4 linked regions of the Danio rerio genome follow. The main gene of each other region encodes a partner of the protein of the gene in region 4 in a complex. Links are inferred from orthologs where the notes say so. Each region holds a gene or a part of one and is shown on either strand. Other genes may lie near its edges.

What was found.
Region 1: med16 (region 4) and med20 share a complex: the UniProt entries of both Homo sapiens proteins name them as parts of the mediator complex. The link is inferred for Danio rerio from reciprocal best matches to the Homo sapiens genes MED16 and MED20.
Region 2: med16 (region 4) and med21 share a complex: the UniProt entries of both Homo sapiens proteins name them as parts of the mediator complex. The link is inferred for Danio rerio from reciprocal best matches to the Homo sapiens genes MED16 and MED21.
Region 3: the proteins of med16 (region 4) and med24 are in contact, whole or in part, in a cryo-EM structure (PDB 7EMF), measured with the Homo sapiens proteins. The link is inferred for Danio rerio from reciprocal best matches to the Homo sapiens genes MED16 and MED24. Residues at the interface, in NP_005472.2 of Homo sapiens: His29, Cys30, Pro31, Ser32, Arg52, Asp54, Asp55, Gln56, Glu82, Asp102, Val126, Glu127, Gly128, Asp129, Pro130, Val184, Ser185, Leu187, Thr203, Glu204, Ser205, Cys207, Arg208, Leu209, Arg210, Gly211, Arg212, Asp232, Gly233, Ser234; in NP_055630.2 of Homo sapiens: Ile539, Leu540, Asn541, His544, Pro545, Glu593, Arg629, Met630, Leu631, Gly632, Leu633, Asp634, Glu635, Asp676, Gln679, Gln680, Thr681, Ala682, Pro702, Pro703, Lys704, Arg705, Pro706, Ile707, Lys708, Glu709, His737, Met738, Gly739, Gly740.

What each region holds. Positions count from the first base shown.
Region 1 is NC_133197.1:572,464-578,991, forward strand, and holds the start of med20 (mediator of RNA polymerase II transcription subunit 20), read left to right. Parts: upstream 1-2,866; 5' UTR 2,867-3,092; coding exon 3,093-3,106; intron 3,107-4,435; exon of another isoform or gene 4,436-4,594; intron 4,595-5,582; coding exon 5,583-5,728; intron 5,729-6,528. UniProt on the Homo sapiens protein: Component of the Mediator complex, a coactivator involved in the regulated transcription of nearly all RNA polymerase II-dependent genes.
Region 2 is NC_133179.1:2,081,879-2,088,169, reverse strand, and holds med21 (mediator of RNA polymerase II transcription subunit 21), read right to left. Parts: upstream 3,846-6,291; 5' UTR 3,801-3,845; coding exon 3,759-3,800; intron 3,146-3,758; coding exon 3,031-3,145; intron 2,945-3,030; coding exon 2,844-2,944; intron 2,272-2,843; coding exon 2,092-2,271; 3' UTR 1,777-2,091; downstream 1-1,776. UniProt on the Homo sapiens protein: Component of the Mediator complex, a coactivator involved in the regulated transcription of nearly all RNA polymerase II-dependent genes.
Region 3 is NC_133187.1:11,210,285-11,216,130, reverse strand, and holds part of med24 (mediator of RNA polymerase II transcription subunit 24), read left to right. Parts: intron 1-673; coding exon 674-816; intron 817-1,049; coding exon 1,050-1,087; intron 1,088-1,268; coding exon 1,269-1,351; intron 1,352-1,498; coding exon 1,499-1,677; intron 1,678-4,356; coding exon 4,357-4,456; intron 4,457-4,590; coding exon 4,591-4,766; intron 4,767-5,846. UniProt on the Homo sapiens protein: Component of the Mediator complex, a coactivator involved in the regulated transcription of nearly all RNA polymerase II-dependent genes.
Region 4 is NC_133186.1:14,599,320-14,605,853, reverse strand, and holds the start of med16 (mediator of RNA polymerase II transcription subunit 16), read right to left. Parts: upstream 4,162-6,534; 5' UTR 3,880-4,161; coding exon 3,738-3,879; coding exon of another isoform or gene 3,696-3,737; intron 3,559-3,695; coding exon 3,451-3,558; intron 474-3,450; coding exon 304-473; intron 1-303. UniProt on the Homo sapiens protein: Component of the Mediator complex, a coactivator involved in the regulated transcription of nearly all RNA polymerase II-dependent genes.

The sequences.
Region 1 (6,528 bases), on a different chromosome or scaffold from region 4:
GTCCTCCGGGTCCACCTCCACCTCTGGCTCCACCTCGTCCATGGCTTCACCCAGAGCCGGCCATTCCTCATCAGAGTCTCCATCCTGAGACACCGGCCCTGACACACACACACACACTTTAAGCAAGAGTTCAGACAAACACAAGGCAAGCTTCCAATAGGTCACGAATCTTTTGGTTTTGGATCAGTGGTTCAGAGTGCAGATCAAATTGGCGAGGTCACGTGATTTCAGTAAACAAGCCTTCATCACATCATCCCCGTTTTCAGAAAATGTCCTGCTTGTCATCTGCGGGGCGATCTGTGTTACACGTCAGTTATGCGCGCATATTAGATCGCCCCCTAGTGGACTGAACAGGAGAAGAGTGTGTAGATGTTTTTAGGAGAGATTTGTAAATGACAAGGAAGGAAGAAAGGATGACTGGATGGATGGATATAGACAGACGGAGAGAGGGAGGGATAGACAGACGGACAGAAAGATGGATAGACAGAGGGTTAGACAGACGGACAGATGGAGGGATAGACAAACAGAGGGTTAGACAGATGGAGGGATAGACAGAAGGAGGACAGAAAGATTGATAGACAGAGGGTTACACAGATGGACAGATGGAGGGATGGACAGACAGAGGGTTAGACAGATGGACAGACAGATGGAGGGATAGACAGACAGAGGGTTAGATAGATGGACAGACAAATGGAGGGATAGACAGATGGGCAAAAAGACAGATAGACAAATAGAGAAATAAACAGATGGAGGGATAGACGGACACAAAAATGGATATACAGATGGAGGGATAGACAGACGAACAGAAAGATGGATAGACAGAGGGATAGACAGATGAAGGGATAGACAGAAGGACGAAAAATGGATAGACAAACATATGTACAGAAAGATGGACAGACAGACAGATGGAGGGAGGGATAAACAGACAAAGATGGATAGACGAAGGGACAGACGGGGACTGAAAGATGGACAGACCGACAGACAGATAGAGGGATAGACAGACGGACAGAAAGACAGACAGACAAATAGAGACATAAACAGATGGAGGGATAGACAGACAGACACAAAAATGGATATACAGATGGAGGGATAGACAGACGAACAGAAAGATGGATAGACAGACAGATGGAGGGATAGACAGACGGACAAAGATGGATAGACGAAGGGATTGACGGAGACCGAAAGATGGACAGACCGACAGACAGATAGAGGGATAGACAGATGGACAGAGATAGACAGACCGACACAAAAATGGATAGACAGATGGAAGGGTAGACAGAAAGACAGACAGAAAGATGGATAGACAGATAGAAGATTAGACAAACATACAGAAAGATGGAAAGACAGACAGACATAGACAGACGGAGGGACAGACAAAAGATTAGACAAACAAACAGAAAGATGGATAGACAGAGACATAGAAAGATGGACGGATACACAGATGGAGGGATAGACATATGGAGGGATAGACAGAAGGACAGAAAGATGGATAGACAGATGGCTAGAAAGAGAGAGATGAAGGGATGGACAAACACAGGATTAGACAGACCAGACGAACAGAAAAATTGATAGAAAAATGGACAAAGATGGAAAGATAGACAGAAAGATGGACAGACGGATGAAGACAGAGGAAGGGATAGACAAACCGACAAAAATGGAAAGACAGACAGAGAGATAGAAAGAAGGAGGACAGAAAGATTGATAGACAGAGGGATAGAAAGACAGACAGATGGAGGGATAGACAAACAGAGGGTTAGACAGATGGACAGACAAATGGAGGGATAGACAGATGGGCAAAAAGACAGAAAAATAGAGAAATAAACAGATGGAGGGATAGACGGACACAAAAATGGATATACAGATGGAGGGATAGACAGACGAACAGAAAGATGGATAGACAGAGGGATAGACAGATGAAGGGATAGACAGAAGGACAGAAAGATGGATAGACAGAGGGATAGACAGATGAAGGGATAGACAGAAGGACAGAAAGATGGATAGACAGATGGCTAGAAAGAGAGAGATGAAGTGATGGACAGACACAGGATTTGACAGACCAGACAAACAGAAAAATTGATAGACAGATGGACAGACGGATGAAGACAGAGGAAGGGATAGACAAACCGACAAAGATGGAAGGACAGACAGAGAGATAGACAGATGGACAGAAAGATGGATAGACAGAAACAGACGAACGGAGACAGATGGAGGCATAGACAGATGGATAGAAAGATGGAGGAACAGACAGACAGATTGACGGATAGTTTGATAGACAGACATATAGATACACAAATAAACAGACAGAGAGACAGACACACAGTCAGTCAGATGAGAGACAGACAGACAGTTGGTAAAACAGGACAGACACAGACAGAGAGAGAGTCAGTGAGTGCAGCATTCACCCAGTCTGGTCGCCGGTGTCCTGCGCTCCTCCTCGGCTGTGTCCTGCAGCTCCTCCTGCTGTCTGCGGGCCTGCTCCAGGATCCTCCGGCTCAGCTTCTCATCCACGAACTCCTGCTGCTCCTCCTGCCCGCGGCCGCGCTGCTTCTGCCGGCCGCTGCAGCGCACTGAGTCCCGCTGGAGGATCTGCTCGGCCAGGGGCACCGCGCCGCCGCTCCAGGCCTTCTTCACCTTCGGCATGATGACGGTTATCAATATTAGTATTATCTGCCTGTCTGTCTGAGGAATTATGAGTGTGAAATCGCGTCTGAACACATGACGCGCCGCGGAGAGCTGCACACACGTGGGTCTGAGAGCAATGGCGCTGAGAGTGTGTGTGTATACATAGATATATGTCTGTAGTGCTGCTCTGAGAGCAGTTGGAGAGATGAGCGCTGTTTTGGAGCGCGCAGAACTACTGATCCCAGAGCGGCGCTGCGTCACACTGTTTACTTCCGCTCGAGGCTCGGCAGATCTCGGCTCTGTTCATTTTTAGCGCGGCTAATGTTTTTATATTACATGAATTTAATGATTGTTAATATTTTTATTTTATCGAATTTAAGTGTTTTACTTTTACTGATTTCGCGTGTTTCACGCAAACTCGAGTGATCCGGAAGTAAATACCCCGGCTTGCGGAAGTTTGTCTCGAAGAAATGGGTGTAACGTGGTGAGAAACACTTTTGTTTATAAAGTATTGTCCTCAAATAATTAATATTTTCAGTTGTGCTTGTTTTGAGTCTCTCTGGTGCTCCTGATGCTCCCGTTCAGCGCTGTTTGAATGCACAGAGAGGCTTTTGCTCCTCATTCATCAGTCTATTTATTGCTTTATACATGTTTACATCACATGTCACTCTTAAAAGTACTTTACAAAACTGTTATTAGTGTTGTGTAGAACACAATGAAGGCCTGTTATTATTATCAGGTGCACGTGTTCATTCAAACTAACATTTAAGATGAAATATAAGGATATTTGACGAGGTTTTCCCGAAGTTTTGTATAAAAAAAAGTGTAAGATTATCAGCTTCATTTACTGCAAACATATAAAAAAACATTTAACAAGTTTTGTAGTTTACAAGCACTCATTTAAGTAGTGTTCAGGGAGTCCGCGGGGTCTTAAAATTTATTAAAGTGCCCATGAAATGAAAACTAGCCTTGTTGTTGTTGTTAGCTCACAGTGCTAGTTCTGTGGTGAATAATTCATCTGTGCATATTATTGAGAAAATGTAATAGTTTGCCCTTCTAATCTTTAATTGAAATCTGAAAATGCTCTTCCTGTTTGTTTTCAGTTAAATTATCAGATGGTGTGTTTTTGAGAGAGGGGTCTGGCTGCAGACCTGGTGCAGATGCAATCTGAGCTGCATCCAATACTTTAAGCTGTGCTTACACTGGGCTTTTCTCACCATAGACTTCATTCATACACGCGAATGCGTCAGACTGGAAACGCAGGGTCATGCGTCAAGTTTCGCAGGTCACTTCAGTGCAAAGTTCAACCTTGGTGAAGTCGGACCTGCGAAATCACATCACTTGACTGCGGGAGACCAATCGAGGATCAACATGAGCTCTCTGGACAGAAATGAAACACATGCAGCAATCACTCGCTTTATTAATGCCTAATCATCTTGTTTAATCCCGCCCCTTTTCGCAGCGCCGTACGGCGGACTTTCGCACACGCAAGCTCTAGTGTGACTGCAGCTTTAATGTGCTCACCTAACCCCACCCCTCAAAGTGACCTCACTAGCTCAATTGTGTCCGACATTGCATCACTAAGAGATGCAATCTCAGCTTGCATCACAAAGGCTGCATCCAGATACTATTGGTTTTAGGCAATGGGCGGGGCTAACATTCATAACCACGCCCCTCCAGCTGTCAGTTTTGACAACAAACAGAAATGCTGAGCTGGGGTCCGTACGTTGCTTAAATGATCTTGATGATTTGGCAGATCCTTGATCTGTTCATCTTGATAACTGATCTCTGGCTAATTTGGTTCCTCAAACAGGTTCGTGAATTAGATTAAAATGTCTGGATGCACATCTGAGATCAGCGTGTGTTGTGAAGGGCAGATTTATCCATCCCCAAAATCATGATCAGCAATGCAGCGATTGGCTGACGGCACAGCAGCGCAATGACATCATCTGATCAATATTCAATTCTCCATGTGAGCAAAATTATTTAAAATTCTTAGTAAACGGTTTGTTAAATATGACACACAATAACTTCCCATGTTTGTTGTGAGCTGCAGGCTTTTTTACACATTCATGTGTCAAGAGTATTCAGCAATTTATTTTATTGTTAGAGCAGATTTTCCTTATTACAGTCGCCATATTAGTATTATAGTAGCCGGTTTCTTAATTGGTATAAAGATTAACAGGATGTTTAAATTAATTTTGCATCACAAAAGCATTTTACTATTGGTAAAGATGTCTGCAACTTTTTTGAAGGCATTAAATCCCAGTCATATTACCGAATACCTGCATGAATGTATTATTCCTTTATAAAAAAAGGTTGCATTAATTTTCTCTTTGATCCACCAGGTGGCAGTATTTGTACTTTTATTTCGGAGTGCAGATTGCATAAGTTTTATTTATATATATTTTAACTTATATATATATATATATAGTTAAAAAATATATTTACTATTTTCCCAAGTGTATATAACTATATAACTACTGTAATAAAAGATCAGAATTCGTTACATAGTTTCAGTATTATCTTTGCTTGAACTGAACCGATCTTATCCTGTTTATATGAAACAAGCTGCTGCTCCCCAGCAGGTTTGAGCTACCAGAACTATTGATAGGACAACAGCTCTCAGATGAGTTTTGAAGAGCGTAACGATCCTGGAACATGTCAAATCGTCAATAACCAAATCCGTTATATAATAACTGAGTAATGCATGTACGAAGAACGGACCCCTGGGGTTTGGTTTTCATAGGTGAATTACTCAAGTATATCAATCTATCTATATAGCTAGATAGACAGACATTACACATATGCACACACAGACTCGCACAATTATTTTTATTATTTATTTTTATTGATGTTTACACTGATCAGAATGATCTTGCTTTAGTAAACTACCATTTTGAAACTGTTTTTAATTGTAAATAAATTAAACGTCTCAAATGTGTGTGTGTTTGTGTCAGTGTTTGTCAGGTGCCAGTGGCCGAGGGTAAGAGCGTCCAGCAGACGGTGGATCTTCTCCACAGGAAGCTGGAGCAGCTGGGAGCCGTAAAACAGGGGAACTTCTGGGTGGACTGTGAGACGTATCACGCTACGGGAAATGCCACCGGTAAAAACACAACTCTTGGATTACTTAAACCAAATTCTGTTACAGATTAAAATAACATGACAAAATGTGTAGTCAGTAATATAAATCAGTTAGATTACACATTTATGGTAATGTATCCGGACTACTTTTTAAATTACATTTAGATTACTTTTGCGCTAACCCTTAGTTGATGTCACACATAGAATGAAAAGAATATAAGAAACGTATATTCACAGCATATTTATTATAAACACACACACACACACACACATATATATATATATATATATATATATATATATATATATATATATATATATATAAAAATAATGTTCATAATGGAATCATGTAATTAAAAAGTAACTAATTTGATTACGAGTATTTTAAAAAGGAGTTTATTATAATTACAAGATCTTGATTTTTGCAATATGATTACAAGATTGCATAATTTTAGAGATTGCATATAATCGGATATCACATACAAACCGATATTACATATAAAAAAAGTTTACAAATAAACCGATTTTACATACAAACCAATATTACATATGAAACGAGATTGCAAATAAAACAAGATTACATACAAACCGATATTACATAACAAGATTGCATTTAATCCGATATTACATGTAAACAGATATTGCCTATAAACCGATATTACATAGAAAATGAGATTACATAAACACCGATATTGCAATTAAACCGATATCACAAATAAAACAAGATTACATACAGGCCGATATTACAATTAAAACGATATAACATACAAAACGAGATTACTTATAAACCGGTATGACAATTAAACCAATATTACAAATAAA
Region 2 (6,291 bases), on a different chromosome or scaffold from region 4:
CTGAGATAATAGTATTAACAAATATCCTAGCAAAGTAATCAATGTCACATTATTACTGTCGTTATGTAACGCTTTCATCATCTGGTCCAGCTTATGCTAACCCCAATATCCTAACTTGTTTTAATAACTGCCAGGACATCGTTCTTAATATTTTAGCAGTTGTCAATCATATAAGTGACGTGATTGTAATGTCTTACCCTGTTGATGACCTTTGTGTTGAATAAGTTCTTTATAAAGTGTCTCCCGGCTGTGCCGAAACGCTGCATGGAGGCCGCCATGCTGTTTACTGACTGTAGGACGCAGGAGGAAGAGCGAGCTCCGATTGGACTAAAAGACAGCTACGTCATGCGTTTTTCAGCGTGGCTGCAGACCAACTGAGGTATTTTTGCATTTTTTATTCTCAAGTGTTTACTCCTCCTTGTGGAGAACTGTTCAACTGTGGCTATAATGGGTATTTAACAATTTTTAATTTTATATTTAATGTAATTTAGCAGAAACGTAAATAACAATATGCCGAGAAAGCTGCACGTTTGAACAGCACAGTGTTTACATTTAGAGTTTTTTGCAGTATTGTATGATGTTAAAATAGTTTATATTTTATTACTATTTATTTTATATTTCTATTGTTTATCTAGATGTTATATATTAAAGAAAATAATATATATAATAACATATATATATATATATATATATATATATATATATATACATACATACATACATATATACATATATATATATATATATATACATACATACATATATACATATATATATATATACACACACACATACATACATACATATATATACATATATATACACACACACACATATATATATATATATATACACACACACACACATATATATATATATACATACATACATCTATATATATATCTATCTATATATATATATATATATATATATATATATATACACACACACATACATACATACATATATACATATACACACACACATATACATATATATATATAGCTTAAAAATATTTACTATTTTCCCAAGTGTATATAACTACTACTGTAAGAAGATATCAGAGTTCGGTTCATACTTTCAGTATGTTGTTTATATAAAATGAGCCTGCTCCCTAGCAGGTTTGAGCTATCGGAACTGTTGCTATGACAACAATTTTCAGATCAGTTTTGAAGAATTAAACGATCCTTGATCATATCAAATCGTCAATAACCAAACCCAGCTAAACTGGAGTCATCCATGTGCGAATAACGGACCGCTAGCAACAACCAGTACAGCAAAGAAACAGCAACATGACAGCAACAGCAAGTTAGAAGGCTTAAAGAGAATGTCTGTTTCTAATGTATTGGAAGCAGATATTTACGTAGGAACAACACAACAACAAAATGAAGTGATGTTTAACACAATTTGCCGTCAGTTTAACAAGTCAACCACCTTTTATTAATAGATTTTGAACTGCAAAAAACCTGCACATTTTCCATACTGCTCTTTTTGTTTGCATAACACTTTGAATTTTGCTCATTATTTATTAAAGCATCTTTAAGTATTGAAATTCGAGATTCACAGACATTGTTTTTGACACATTATTTAAAATATGTGGCTAAAAATAGCTATCATCTTAGCTTTTTTTTCTCTTCTTTTTTTATTTTTGGTGGGGTCAGTAAAAAATTTGGCAGGGCAAGTAAAAATCTGAACCACTGGCCCGATCGGACCAGTAGAAAAAATCCATAGCGTTAAACCCTGAACAGGTCAAAGTTAAAAATAAAAACAAGCATGTCATACAATATATTTTTATTTGTTAAACATAACTTCTTTCAAAACAAGAGTATCAGCATAATGCTGGTGAGGGAAAAAAACAACATTTAATTTACAAAACATACCCAGAAGCTGACTATTAATGGTAGTAACACGCTGATGAACATTACACAAGGTAAAAAACAGAGGTCGCACAATAAAGACATGCGATGGGAAATCAGCTTTCTTTAGTCCAGAAACCGATGTGAAACAGTGAGTCTCCTGCAGTCGATGTAGGATGCGTATAAAATCCCTGCTGTGTCCCGACACTATAGTTCATGTTGTGGTTTTTTTCTGTCAGGATTCTGGAGGTGTTTGCTGACTCGGGGCTCCGCTGCGGGTGCGGAGCTGTGATTGGGCGATGTCTGCTAGTGCCGTCTGGATCTTCTCCAGCAGGGCGTCTCCTCTGTAAACCACTTCCTCCAGACGCGCTGCAGCTTCCTGGTTCTCCTCTTCCAGCTGTCGCAGACTGGCGGCCTAAGAAACGCATCAGAAATGACAACAAGTAGAGACGAGGTATAATGCTAATGTATTGTTGTTCACTCTGTACTTGGACAACATGGGTAGCACAGAGCCAGATGTGCAATATATGTGGCATGGGATGAGCAATTAACAGTAATCAAGTTTGTAATATGATTAATATCTAGCTAATTGGTCATTTGTGTATTATTGTCATGGTATATTTCAGTGTTTCTCAAATCCATTTCTGGGCTCCTACTGCTCTGTACATTCAGTGCAGCTTCTGGAGCTTTCTTCTAGCAAGATGATATTTATAATCAGGTCCATTATGTAGGCATAACTCAAAATGTGCAAAGCAGTGGCTCTCCAGAAATGGATATGAGATGCACAGGTTAAGCTGAGATTCATTTTTAATGCAACAATATAATTTACAGTTGATTTTCTTCTCTTTGAGTGCCAGAACTCAAAACCTGAAGTGCAGAACAACCATATTTTAAACAGCAGAAGGCTCAATAATTATATAATGATTCAATAATAATAATGTGGTGTTGGCCAGTGATACAGTGTGTGTGTGTATATAATAAATGTACCTGCAAGGCTGCAGTGGATTCTTCACTGGGCAGAGAGTCGATCAGCACATCAACATCTTTTGCTGTTCTTGCTATCAGCGCTGCAAACAGCTGAGCATATTCTAGAAAAAACACATCTTAGTATGTCAACTTCAAAACACATTATTTTCAAAGTGGATCACATTCAGATCAGTGCAGATGAGAGCACCTTCTGTGGGGTTTGAGGGCTGGTCTTTATTGATGGCCGTCTGGATGTTGCTGAAGGAGGCCGGTGGTGCGCACTGCTGCAGAACTCCAATCGCATTACAGAACTGATCCGCCAGCTGAAACACGACATGCAGTAAATCAGACATGCAGGACAATCCACTGTTACTTTCAGTTTACATGTTCTTTGACATGATGAGAAGTATTAGTACTCAGTGCTAAGATTGTGAATTATGTAATATATGAATAAACACAATTACATGTAATGTTTGATTAAACAACATTAATTTAAAACAATTTAAAAATAATTAATATTGCACTTTGAAGAACACAAAAAAAGAAATATTTAAGTGTACTTCACCAATATATAAGTAACAATAGCACTTACAGAAATGTATGTATATATTATATGTTATATTATAATTATATAACGGTGCCTTTTATATACACTTACTTAGATTATAATAGGACTATTATTTTCAGTTTCGTTTTATTTATAACAAGTAAAACATTTATTACAGTATCAAAACACATATGACAACAAACTTCACCTGTTCATTTGTTCACAAATTGCACGCTATGCTAACACTTCAGACGCTACAGTACATCAACATGACTTCTTAAGCAAATAATCCAATTTAATGAACCAGACTATTAAGTAAATCTGTTCGGAAGACATTTGCTGTGTTCTGCAGTTTCTGAAGTATAAAATAAACGTTAAATGAGTCTTACGGAGTTCACAGCATCCTGAAGCTGCGTTAGCCTGTCGGCCATGTTGGCTCCTCTTCACAGTTTCCGTTTCCGCCGAGCGCGTTCAATGCTACATCACGTGATACAGCGCAGCGTACAGCGAAAGCGCTCGTCTACTGAAAAGTTGTTGCATTTTCGCGCAAAGCAGGAGTGCTTGACACTTCCGGAGGCTGGATGTGAAGCTTCAACATGACTGCCGAATGTAAATGCTTCTGCTAAAGCGTGTTTATGGACTGGACTGATCCGGGAAAATGCCACTGAAGAGAGAATGTTTGGTTCTGCTCGTCTTGTCGTGGGTCGGTTCACTGCGCGCTCAGGATGAGAGTGAGTAACGTTAAACCCCTAATACCTTCTTTATTACGCTTGATAAAATATATAATCCCTATATAACGCACATATGTGGCAAATAACAGTTGTTTAAAGTGTGACTCAGCTCATTTAGCGACATATGAATCGAAATCAATCATGTCAACTATGTATTTCTAATCAATTAGTGATTGATATGATGTTGCAACTGATCTAAAGTTCACCGTTACGCTAAATAAACACAAACATCCCAAAATATCTTACTTATCACGCTTAATTAATTATATAATCCCTTTTAAACGCACACATGTGACAAATAATTCGTGTTTGTAGAGTGAATCAGCTGCCGACATATCAATCTGAAATAATAATCCTAAGAATGAAATGCTGATCAATTAGTGATCGATTCGTGTACTGATTTAAGGTCAATATATCAATCTGAAATAACCCTATTATTGTTACCACATAATAGCTAACATAGAGGTAACGTTGCTTTTATAGTCGCACATTCGTTTATTTAGCAGTCTCTGTATTGTTTACCATGTTAACGTTAACGTTACTTTGAATATTCGATAGACATTAGCAGGCAAGGATGACTTCAAAACAACATCGACAATGATTTCCCTATTTAGAATTTGTAAACATTACTTTTCTGAAATTACCTTATTGAGGAGAAAGTCTGAATATGTGAATATAAAACAGACTTTACCTCTATATAGCTAACTATTATTGTTCTAGTGTATTTGGGTTTTATGACTGCTTGTACTGTTTATAAACTGGACTACATTGATATTTATGAGGTGATGATTGCTGATAATGTAAATACACACACACACACACACACACACACACACACACACACACACACACACACACACACACACATACATACATACATGCATATATATGTGTGTGTGTGTATGTATATATGTGTTTGTGTGTGTGTGTGTGTATGTATATGTATATATATATATATATATATATGTATATATATATATATATATATATATATATATATATATTATAATTTAACACTTTAGTGAATCTTAGACAATGCATAAAATAATTAAATACATAAGTGACTGATTTATTTATTTGTTTAATTTTTCATACACAAGAAAGACATTCATTACGACTAATATAGTAAGAATATTAATCTCACACTTGGGAAGATAATAAGTTTACGGTAATCAGATGTATAAACTGAGCAAAAATATGCAATTTGGTGCTGATATAAACATTATTATACCCAAAACATTCAGAGGTCTGTCAGAGTACTTGCATAAAATGCATATAAATATTACTGTCACTCTATCGCAGAGTAATATGTCTAAATGCAATACTTTTTTTATTTTTTAAAAGCAATGCATTGTAATGATGAAGGAACAATTCTCAAAAATATATAAAATAGCAAATATCAAATTTGCTCAATTTACTTTTAATTATTTATTTTTATTAATATTTAAAGATATTCATCTATGTAAAGACACTGATCATGTTAATGATTTCTCGAATGTTTTTGTTTTAGCGAGTTTTTGATCTCTACTTCATTTGGGAAAATAAAAACATTATTTCTGAGAATTATTGTTTCTCAAAATTCATATTTGATACTCATATTTCAGCATTTATGGACATTTCAATGGTCAAGAAAAACAAAATTTAGTCTTTATTTTCATATTATAATATTGATATTCTTACATACAATTTTTATTTTTATTTTATAGAGATATATTTTAATATTATATAAGGTTTTACTTCTGATAAGTGATCTAAACCACAAGCTGAAATATTTGTGCAATTTAAATAAAATATATTTAACAAAAAAAAAAGCATAAACTATCAATCATGCGACACAGTGGCCTGTAGTAGATTGTGTGCAACAGGAAAGGTTTATTACTATTGTCATTTTTTAGACACTTGGAAACTAAGTATAAGTGTAATGCTTCACACCTCTGTCTGAATTTCCTGCTCGTCTTTCTGAAGCTGTTGTGGATTTAACACATTTTCAGTGTCTGTCAGTCATGATTTTGTGCCTCCTTAATAATGCTCTTTTATTTTGTAACAGTGGTGCGTTTTCATGCAGTTTTTCTCATTTAATTCCCCTCGTTCTTGCTTGCGCTGCACAGACAACAATGAAGCGCAGCAGCAATCCATCACATGCAATTTAGAAACTATTTCCTCATTCCTGAACAGACCCAGAGATTTTTTC
Region 3 (5,846 bases), on a different chromosome or scaffold from region 4:
TTCTACATGATTGTAAACGTAAATATATATATATATATATAACAAATGGAGAAGTTTGATTTTTTTCATGAATTTGATCAAAGATTACAGAAACGAATGTGTAAAATGAATAAACACATGGATGAATCACAGTAAGATCTATGATGAATTATAAAATGTATAGGGTGATTTTACCATCTCAACTTTAAGGTGTTTTAAAATGATTTTGATTAGTGGGATTTCATATAGTTTCTCTTTTATTGAACTCGTATGCCTATGTTTTTATCTGTCATAATTAACCCATGACTCAAATTGTTAATTGAATACTGAACTTGATGTCACTCTTGGACAATTTATGTTTATTCTTATAAGTTTATGACTTCTTACTAACTAGTAATCTGTAATTGAGTTCCTGTTTTGTAGTGTTCATAAATGGAACTGCCATGTTAGATCAAATTTAGCTTTTAAAAATGTAATAAATGTTAAGTATCATAATATCTTTAAAGACCAATTATAACTAATGATTATTGCTATTATGAATTTTGTCTTTTACTGTTATTATAAGATTAATAAATGGTTTAGAAGTGTTTTCATTGCAAATTCATATTGATTAGTATGTTTGATTCTTAATTAATGGAGTTTTATTGTGAGTGTTATCATTTAATGACTTTTACTTGCCTTTCTGGTTATTTAGACCGTGGATGCGGATCATTCTAAGTCTCCCGAGGGATTGCTGGGAGTTTTGGGTCACATGCTCTCAGGAAAGAGTCTTGATTTGCTACTGGCCGCTGCTGCAGCCACTGGAAAACTCAAGTCTTTCGCCCGCAAATTCATCAAGTATGACAGAGATCGGATCATTTTATCTTGTGTTTCTCAACCACATTCCTGTAGGATCATCAGCTCATTAGCAGAGACTGAAAAACCTGTAATGGGTGTGACAGATAAAGGAGACATCCAAAACATGCAGTGTTGGTGGTCCTCCAGGAACATGTTTGAGAAACACTGGTTTTATCTGTAAACCCAAAAATACAGAGTGTCAAGAAGTTTGATGTATATTTGTTCTTTTCCAGGCTGAACGAGTTTCCAAAGCACATTAGTGGAGAAGGATGTAAGTTTCTTTTCAGGCTATTATGTTTATTCGCTGTGAATTTTTGCCCTCTTCTAATTTTTTCTTTATGTATTTTTGTAAATTATAATGGAAGATTAAGGATATATATTTGGGTATTTTGAGCAGCACATTACCCAGCCAAATCTGAGCACAAGTTCACTTTTAACAATCTACTTTCTAGCGAAGTCTGCATCAGTACGAGCTCTGCTATTCGACATTTCCTTCCTCATGCTGTGTCATGTCGTACAGACGTATGGATCAGAGGTCAGCATTTACACATACATAATTTCAATCTGATAAGGTTATGTAATGTTCTTATATAATTCTTAATCACATCCTGTCATCGCAAAACACTCAGAGTCACAACTGAGTCAAAACGCTCCGATCATATCCTACTTCCTGTCTGTCCAGGTGATTCTTTCAGACCCCAGCCCATCAAGCGAGACCCCTTTCTTTGAGACATGGCTTCAGACGTGCATGCCAGAGGAAGGGAAGACCCTGAATCCAGACCACCCTTGCTTTAGACCTGAGTCTGGGAAGGTGGAGAGCCTGGTGGCCCTGCTTAATTCTTCATCTGAGATGAAGCTTGTGTAAGTGGTGCTTCTCTTTAAAGTGCCATTATTACTCTATTTAACAAGTTTGTTTTGAAGGTCTTTAGCAATAAGTGTATATCCATCAAGTAAACAAAAAATATATACTCTTACACTGTAAAACCCAAAAAGTTAAGGTATCTCAAACCGTTCGAGGAAACTGATTGCAGCAAACCATTTAAGTCCAAAAACAAATCCTAATGAGTATTGTGAACTTAATCCATTTAAGTAAATTAAGCAGTTTGAGCACAGTAAAACCTGATAAGTGAAGAGAACTCAAACCAATGGAGTACTGTAAAACCCAATAAGTCAAGGCAACTCTAACTGTTTGAGGAAACTGATTGCAACAAACCATTTGAGTTCAAAAACTAATCTATATGAGTACTGTGAACTTGCTTAATTTGAGTTGAAGTAATGAGGTATTTAATTTGAGTTCAAAACTCTTTTCAAATGAGTAGAATTAACTTTCAGTCAATTTTGAGTTAACTTCACTCATTTCACTTGATAAAGTTGAATGTTGGGTTTTACAGTGTAGCATACATTCCCTGTTCATGTTCAAGGATCCACTCTTTCTAAATCTCTCTTTTTGAGTGTTTGGATTGTCAAATAGGCACCATTTTTTAGTGATTGGTCTACAGCTCATTAAATTAATTGCAAGTGGCTTCCTCTGGACTTGTAAATACAATGATAGAAACAATAACGTGGCAATGGTTTTGTCAAAACGCATTTTCTTTCATTCATTGAGGATTCATACAGTGTATTTGTTTCAGCTGGATTTATTCTTTCGTCTGGCGCCGCATCACACACCTCTGCTGACTGCGCGCGCACCTCACAAAACGGACAGGGCTTTTATACTTGCCGCATTCGCCAAAACAACAGGGGGTGGTTAAAAAAAACCCCACCGTAAAATCACACGGATAAACACAGACTACATCATATCATTAATATCATTCAAGATTTTTAAACAAATAATTTTTATTATTTTAATAAATTATTTTAATGATTATAAGGATTTTTATAACCATTTAAGATTTTTTAAGTCAAACTTAGATGCATCTTTTGAACTTATGTTCATATCTCGGACAGTTTTACCTATTAAAGTTTATTAAAATATCATTGACAACAGAACATGGGTTGCTTTACAAATGTATTTTTATAAAAGCAAAAAAAAACATTACAATTACTAAAAATTATTTTAGATTTAGCCCGCTCCACAGTTTACACATTACTGTCTGATAATGTTTCTGTCCTCTACTTATGCTAAAAAGGAGATAATGGTCCAACATTCTTGACCATTATCACCAATAAAGCCTAGAAAAACAGGCCATCAGTATATTGTAAACCGATAGGTTCAAATATTCCTTTCCAGTTATCAAAGAAATTATTTGTTCTGTTAGTTTTGTAACTGTTATATTGTTTTAAATAAAAAAATAATATATACATTAGTGTAAAACCTATGAATGGAAAAACATATTTCTGTAATTGTGTATCCGGGTCTCCACTTTTGCCATGGCCTCTTTTGGCTTTAACAAACTTATCCCTCAAGTTTTCCCAAATGTTTTAGCAAAAACATTCTTCCTTTCCCACTAATGTTGTAATTTTTAGCCAAGAATTTTTGATCATCTGGTTATATCTATGAACATGAATCATAAAGATGTCTCTACAGTTGAACCTGTTTCAGACAAAATCTCTTCAGTGTTTCATAATCAACTCAAATCAGTTGTGGCGCCGTGCGAACTGTTCGCTCGTCTCAAAAAAATCATGCGCTCCGCCAGCCGAAATCATGACGCGTACACCCAAACCTAACCTCCGCAAACACTGCGATAACGTCACATTCGCTGCGCCCACTCAATCGAACTAGCGGACATGTCGAGTATAAACAATGCAAAAATTTTCTTTTTGACCTGTTGACACCACAACTGTACTGTTTAGATGTTGTTAATAGGATGACAGTGAAAACTAAAGGCTGGCATTTTCAAATGTGTTACAAACCTACATAGGGTTGTGCATGAAGTAATGCCTGAATTATTGACCATCACTGAATAATATTCTCTATGACACAACAAATTCATTTATTGTATGCTTTTGAATATTTGCATACCTTTTACATTCAGAAACCGCTATATTAGACACCACACCAAAGAAAATATCTTAATCATTCAGTGTAACATCAGATAAGTGATGACTCGTTTTGAATAATAGATCCAAGATTGGGAGCATATCTCACTATAGCAAAACGTTTTGCTAATGTGGAACTGTTGATCACTCTTTGAGAGCTGACTGTTGCTCGGATACAGGTGTTTGTTTTATGATCCTGAAATACGTTTGAGTTAAAAATGTGTAAGTAAGTGTCTTATTAAAATTAAAAATATAAAAAATAAAATAATAATCAGGGATTATATTTTAGGGTCTGCTGTCTTTAAATGAAACTATTAGCCTAACAGTCATTTGTGTAGTTTTAGAGTGTACTACCAGATGTGAATTGGCAGGCCAAGAACCTAGATCCAAAAGTGCATATTTGTTGTATGTATATTTGATGAAAAATTTGCTCAGATTTGGGAGAGGACAGTGTGTTTTGTTTAAGTATGGAACGTATGCAAGTAAGTAATGATTGGCCACAAAATGGTTTGTTTTGTCCTGCCTGTGAGATAAGTCAAACATATGCTTTCTTCTTCCCAGTCAGATGAAATGGCATGAAATATGTCTTAGTACTCCTGCAGCTATACTTGAGGTCCTGAATGCCTGGGAAAATGGAGTTTTGTCAGTGGAGGCTGTTCAGGTGAGGGCATTTAAGAAGTCTTTAAATGGCACACAATTCCCATCATTTGACAGTTCGGGACCAATAGTATGAATGTCACACAGTAGTTTCTTCTTTATGACTGTAACTGAAGATGTGTTTTTCTGTGAGTGTAGAAGATCACAGATAATATAAAAGGAAAGGTGTGCAGTATGGCCATCTGTGCAGTGGCATGGCTGGTGGCTCACGTTCGGATGCTGGGATTGGATGAGAGAGAAAAACCTCAGACTATGATTCGTCAGCTCATGACTCCTATGTCAGGGGAAAACACTTTGCAGTTTTACCATGAGCGGTAAGCATCTCCTCACACATCAGACTACAGAATCACATTAAAGTACTCCCATTCAAAGTCTTAAATTGTGAATATCAACAAACAGATTTCTATTTTTAGTATTTTTATTGCTAATATCTAGAAAGTGCCGAGACATTACTGGAAGTACATATGCCCTTTATAAGATCTAAAATGGAATATATATGTTTATATTTTGTGTTAAAAAGAGTCTAATAATAAGCTTACCAAATAAAATACTATTTAAAATAACTATTAAAGTTTCATTGTAAAATATAATGCATTCCTGTGATGGCAAAGCTTAATCTTTAACATTTATTTTAGATAGAAATATTTATTACTTTTGAATAATGAATAAATTTTATTTACATCGACTTTCCCTTTAAGATTTAATGGGCTAGCATTGCACCAGACCCCCGTAAGTGGTTTCGTTGTAAGTGTAAAATCTATATTTTATGAACATATGCATCACTTTGGTTTTTATTCTACTTTACAAAAATTATTTACACTTAAATACACAGTGTTTTGGATACCCGAGCTAGGTATTTTACACTGGTTCGTTTTCATATTTTTCATATGACACATGTGCAAGTTATAGCTAAATGAAAGCTCTTGTTGGTGCTCATACAGTTCGAGCATTTTTTTACTGAATTATATTCACATATAAAACAGTTGCTAAATGAATCACAGTGTTTCCATGGCGCAGAAATGAAAACAATACATTCATGATCAATAAGCAACCCCAGATAGCACAGACAGCTGTCATCTCTTACCTTATGCTGTGCGCTTCAGGGCCATTCTCCTCTGTTTTTGAGGTGATGTGCATAAGTAATACTTTTATATGTCTGACGTGGTCCAAACATAGTGAATTATGTTTGATCAAACAAAAGAATAGTGAAATATGAAAACAATGATCGATCCCTGTGACTTGTACAGCACCTCTCATCAGTTGGAATACAATAACTTTTCCATAGATTATGGTAGAGACATTTTTCCTATGATTACAGACATGTGCAGGAACCACCAAAATTAATTACAGCACGCTAGACCACACAGAACCTAAAAGGTACACTTTCAAATTTG
Region 4 (6,534 bases):
TACAGTCTGAAATTGCCATAAAGCTTTAACAATTATTTTAATGCACTCATAGATCATTGATGACTTTCCAGATCTATTAAGTTACGATGCTTTTGGGACACAGACCATAACATTAAGATCAATCGTACAATTATTTTTAGAATCTACATACTGTAGGCTAACTAAGCTTTTGGGAAATGCAGCCCAGTTCAATAAGAATGTCAAACTGTAGTTGCAGGACAATAGACTGAAGATCAGCTTCGCCGGCCCTAACCAAGCAAGCCAAAAGTAACAGTGGCAGGTAAGGGAATTCACATACTGTACCTTTTCAACATGCAGGGCGAGTTTGACTCCATTGTGTAACCATGAAAGTGCTACAATAGGGTCTCCGTCCACTGAGCTGCTCTGTGCGCACTCCCAGCTGTTCACCAGGTGCTCTGTCATGCCCCAACACTTGATCTGACCATCACCATCAGCAGACAACAACCTCGAACCTAGCAAACCACACAAGAGGTAGGGTTGAGCAATGTCGACCAATTTGGCATCATACAATGTCTAATGTAAACCATCGCGATGGACGATGGCATATGACGGTATGTCTGAATATCAAGTTTAACAACTATAATGAGACGCAATCCAGTGGTACACCCTTGATAAACTGTCAAACATGCACGACTCTCTGTCTCTGGAACTCAGAGGAGCGCATGACAGTGTGTGGCTCTGAAGTGAGCACCACTTGCGTCTGTGAATGTCTGTCTGTTTCTGTCTGTATGTGTGTGTTTGTGTGTGGTCACGTGATGTGCGTTTTCAGCGGACGGAGGGCTGTTCAGAAATGCTAGGTAAAACACGATGGAGATGTGGATCATTTCGTTCTAAAATGCCATCTTTACACTAAGACGTCTTTGTGCAAACGGGGCCTGAGTGTGTATTTTTTGCGTGAGGGTTTGTGATGGGGCGGAGGATCAGCGATGCAAGCTCAGCATTGTGTTGTCTATTGGCCATCGAAGATGGACGATGGCATCGACTATCGGCCCAACCCTAACAAGAGGCAAACATTATTGACTTATTTGAACAAATACATTGATTAGGGATGCTCATTTCGGTTAATTTTGCCAATCGAAATCTGCCACTCATTAACTGAATATTAACTGCTAACTGGTCAGATTAATATTAAACTACTATTTAATTTAAAACAAAGCAATTGACGTGTCTATTTTGTGTCCGACACATTTAATATTGCATTTTAAAATACTGATTTATTTTAACATGCAAACATAATAACAACCGCATTTAATTAATGCTCCGCTACATTTTTTAGCAATCAGCATCAGTGCTGCTTTGGCATCGACTTGTCTGTGTCAAACTGTGACCAGCATCATCCTTCTTTCATTTTGCTTTTTTGGCAAAATATGTCTGTGGGCACATGTAGTTGCACATGTTACTGTCTCACGAATAAGCAAATATGTGTTGCACATTTATGCAGCCAAACTTAAATAAAATAAAAACAATACATTTTTAATCATTTAACTGATACCAATAATAGATTAAAATGCACCTTTTAAGACAGGGATGCCCAAACTCTATCCTGGAGGGCCGGTGTCCTGCAAAGTTTAGTTCCAACCCAATCAGACACACCTGGGCTATCTAATCAAGCTTTTTAAAGGCTTTCTATAAACATCTATGCAGGTGTGTTGAGGCAAGTTGGAGCTAAAATCTAGTGGTGGGCAAAGCGAGGCTTCATGAAACACTGAAACAAACAGTCGAAGCAAATGTGTCGAAGCTTCGAAATGTTTTGAAACCCCACTCTACGGTGACCACCTAGTGGTCATTTTTATGTATTGCACTGAAACAGCTTCAGCAAGAACATTTTAGCAAATTGAGGTATTACACCCCACTTTGTAAAAGTATCTATTCAAGAGATTTAGTGGAGCGGTTAAGGTTTCTGACTTCCATGTGGGGATATTGAGTTTGAATCCAGGCTGATACGGCTTTTTTGAAATGCTTTAATACCAGTTGGTAATGCTTTGTTCTTGTTTCGTTTTGTTTCAACATTGGTCTGACATCCGAATAAACACTTTGTAAATAAATATGTCTTGTTTTGGTATTAAAACAGAGTTGTTGCTAGATCAGACACAGTTGTGGCCAGAAGGTATCAAGAATTATTTATATTATTTATTAAATTTCCCATTTATTGTATTTCATTAACGTCTATCCAAACCCTAAACCCAACCATCACAGTACTGTAAAAATATTTATTATTGTTTTAGTGTTACAAAAATGATGCTATATTGATGGCGTATCCTCAGCTTTAATCTATTTAGGCTACACCATAAAACAGAAACATGATTAAAATACATAAAACCATGATTTAGGTGTATTTGTACAAGTCGGGATTCAAACCCAAAAGTCATTGGAAGTATAAAAACAGCGTGTACAGGCACAGTCCACCAGGCCATATGAGACAGATTTTGAAACTGACGCCGGCAGTTACATCCAGATTCGCAAGGTCTCGAAACACTTCTTAACTGATTGTTGCTTTGAATCATTTTAGTCACGTGTCCAGGTGTTTTGAAACACTTTAGTCACGTGAATTGGGTGTTTCGGATCATGCTTCGGTGCAGTGTTTCGAAACACTTGTGCTTCGGGATCTCGAAACTGTGTCGAAACGTCAGTTTCACGTCAGCCATCCCTACTAAAATCTGCAGGACACCGGCTCTCCAGAACTGAGTTTGGGCACCCCTGCTTTAAGTTAACGGGTTAATCAGTTATTAGGAGTATCCCTAAAACTGATTTTATAAACAACTTAATTAATAAATGTTTTATGAATATTAAATAAAAATGAATATACCTTTTTTATTATTATTTTTCTTCATACTTTGATTTGGCTTTTTTGCTTCATATTAAATTTAGCAATTGTATTATTTGCACTACTGTTTTCATTTGTTATAATATAAAGTATAATTTTTTTATTTGCCTTTTTGATTTACTTTTATTTTAATAAATTATATATATTTTTTCTGTTCTGTTACTTGCTAAAGCAACATTTGTAATTTTCATTTAATACAAGTTTTTTCTTTATTATCAGATTTTTTAAATAGTTTTAGTATTTGATAATGGTAAAAACCCTGATTTGGAAAAGTATTTAGGTTTTACATTGAAACGCGTCTCTCTTCAAATGTTTTTAACACTCTAAAATGATTCAAATGTCAATTATAAAATAATTATATTATTACAAAAAATCTATAATAAAAATAAATATTATATTAGATTTTATTATTCTGTATCTAATCTGTACTGATTTAAGACCATCGCAGTACATTAATCGAGTAAAATTAGGCTTACCCTTACAATACTGAGACTACCCACCTAAAATAAATGGAAACTTTACTTCTAAAAAAAACTTGTCAAATATGATCTGCACATATTGCCAAATGTTTAGCCCATTTCATCTTTATCATCATGATGACTGACCAGACTGATCCCATTCTAGGCAGGAAATTATCTCATTGTGACCAGAATTGATGGAGTACACATCCCAGGGGTGATCAGTGTCAATGATGTGTATCATATGACTGAGATCTGCAACAGAAAAAAAAAACATGATTGTTGTTGCTGATATAATGCTTGATCATAAATAAACACCATTGTTCTATGTATTTTGGATCCAAAACGAATTGAAAATGTATGTTGTTTCTTGTCCTCCATTCATAACTCACCAACAGGAGTGGTAATATTGGTAATAAAGGCATTGTCCAGACCTTTGTCATCCTCCTCATTCTTCAGGTCAGTGGTGAAAGCGATGAGGTTTCTACATGACCAGGCGCACACCAGAGGGATTGAAGGACAGTGGTTGCTCTTGGGTCTCTTCTCCCACTCGCAAACATATGCGATATCCATCATATAATGAAGGAAACTTACTGTTTACAGCACAGATGCCCCAAATGAACACCTTTGAATGTGTTCACAATCACTACGGGAGACAACAAAAGCAAACACCGCTACTGTACAGAAACAGAAGAAAATGATGGGTATGGCAGACTCAAAACTACATGCTCCTGCTAATAAGTCCGAACATAAATTAATTTGTTAATAATATAAATTGTTCTGGCGTTTCAAATCTATTCTAATTCAGCAAATAGCACTTTGAAGCTGCACATCACATCATTGAGCGCCTGTATTCGTCGACTCTTTCCGGATTCAAAGACTCATCTAATACTTACCACCCCCTATTGGGCTGGAGCTCCGATCTATTTCTGTATTTGTCTATCTACGTTACTTTTGAAGCATAAAAGCGTTAACAAAAATGTTTACTCATGCATGGTTATGCATTATTTATTAACAAAAGGCTTTTTTGTTCCTATGCTTTTATGTATGTATGTATGTATGTATGTATGTATGTATGTATGTATGTATGTATGTATGTATGTATGTATGTATGTATGTATCTATGTATGTATGTATGTATGTATGTATGTACGCTATTTATATATTATTTTTCTCTTTTTTTATATAAACGTTTTATTTTTGTTTATACATTTTTATAATTTAATTTATATGTTTAAGTTAACCTTTTAAGTCTCTCTCTCTGTGTGTGTGTGTGTGTGTATGTGTGTGTGTGTGTGTGTGCGTGCGTGCGTGCGTGCGTGCGTGCGTGTGTGTGTGTGTGTGTGTGTCTCAGAAAGGGTTTGACGTACAGAGCTAATAATGTGCCAAAACAATCACAATTTGAATTGTATTCATTTGAATTATTAACAATTTTAATTTTAAAAATCAGATTTTTTTATGACATTAAAAATCTTTTAAATTTGATTTTCTTCATTTGAATTTGAATTTCATAACTTGAGTATTGAACATCTGAAATGCAAGAACTTTTCAAGCCTGATTTGTTTGTGTTCTGAGTTCATAGACTGTAGATATTAAGTTTGTGAAAATACAGTTTCAAATTTTCAAGATGAAGAAATTTAGAACATCCAAATCAATATCATAAAATTCAAAACCAGAAATTCAGATTGTGAAATTCAGGGCTGGAAATATATATATATATATATATATATATATATATATATATATATATATATATATATATATATATATATATATATATATATATATATCTATATATATATATATATATATATATATATATATATATATATATATATATATATATATATATATATATATATATGGTCTAAATAACGAATGTGAATGAACAATTCAGTGACAAAGAGAGATTTAGCGCCACCCATTGGACATTTTGATTTCAATGCATTTCAGTCAAAAAATAGCCTACTGTAATATTTTAACACAAAAAATCAAACGTTTGAGAATATGTCTATAAAAAATTCCGCCTTGAAAAATTCAGTTGTCTTACATTTCAATATTCAAGTTAGAAAATTCAAACTAAGAAATTCAAAACAATTTTTAACGGCATATAAAAATTCAGATTTATTAAATTACAATTGTCTAATTCAAATTAACACAATTCAAATTTAGATTGTTTTGCTTATTATTATTTCCATAATACGCACATCAAATGAAAACATGGCAATATTTACAGCTAACAGCTTATCATTTTTCAGTAAAGCAACTCATTCATTCATTTTCTTTTCAGCTTAGTCCCTTTATTAATATGGTGTTTGCCACAGCGGAATGAACCGCCAACTCATTCAGCATATGTTTTACGCAGCGGATGCCCTTCCAGCCGCAACCCATCCCTGGGAAAGTAAAGCTTAAATTCTGATTCAAAATCACAAATAATGACTTGAGGCGACATGGTGGCTCAGTGGTTAGCAGCACTGAGATCTCACAGCAAGAAGTTCACTGGTTCGAGTCCCTGTTGGTTCAGTTGGCATTTGTGTGTGGAGTTTGCATGTTATCCCCGGGTTTCCTTCAGGTGCTCCGGTTTCCGGTTTCAAAGAAGTGGTAGGTATAGGTGAATTGAATGTATGTGTGAATGAGACTGTATGGATGTTCCCCAGTACTGGATGGGTTGGTTGCAGCTGGAAAGATATTCTCTGTGTAGAACATATGCTGGATAAGTTGGCGGTTCATTCCGCTGTGGTGACCGCAGAGAAAATGAATAAAATAATGGCTTGTATTTGAAATTATTTGTACTAAACTTTCCAAACAGAATGAATACATTGAGCAAATATATTTGTAAATTATGTATAGTAAAAATTCAATTAAAACATTTGCAAACAAAGTTGAACTACAAATAATATTGTCTCTAATAAAATAGCAGAAATCTAAACAATCCTCATGAAAAATATGCTTATTTCGTATTTTGAGGTCATCCCCACCGCAATCAAGCGCTATGCATGTTTATCTTTACTTACTTCTACTGCGTGACTTGTACCATAGATGCTGTACTAAATAGCCTTTCCACTCTATTATGACGTGACGCAATAATAAATTAATACGATTTGGAGAAACCAGAAACAACAATAAACGCATGATATTTATGTTATATGTTTATATATTTATTTATTCGTTCATTCATTAATTTTGTTGTTGTGGAATCCTTTAGACTTTTGAGTAAAAAAAACAGATCCC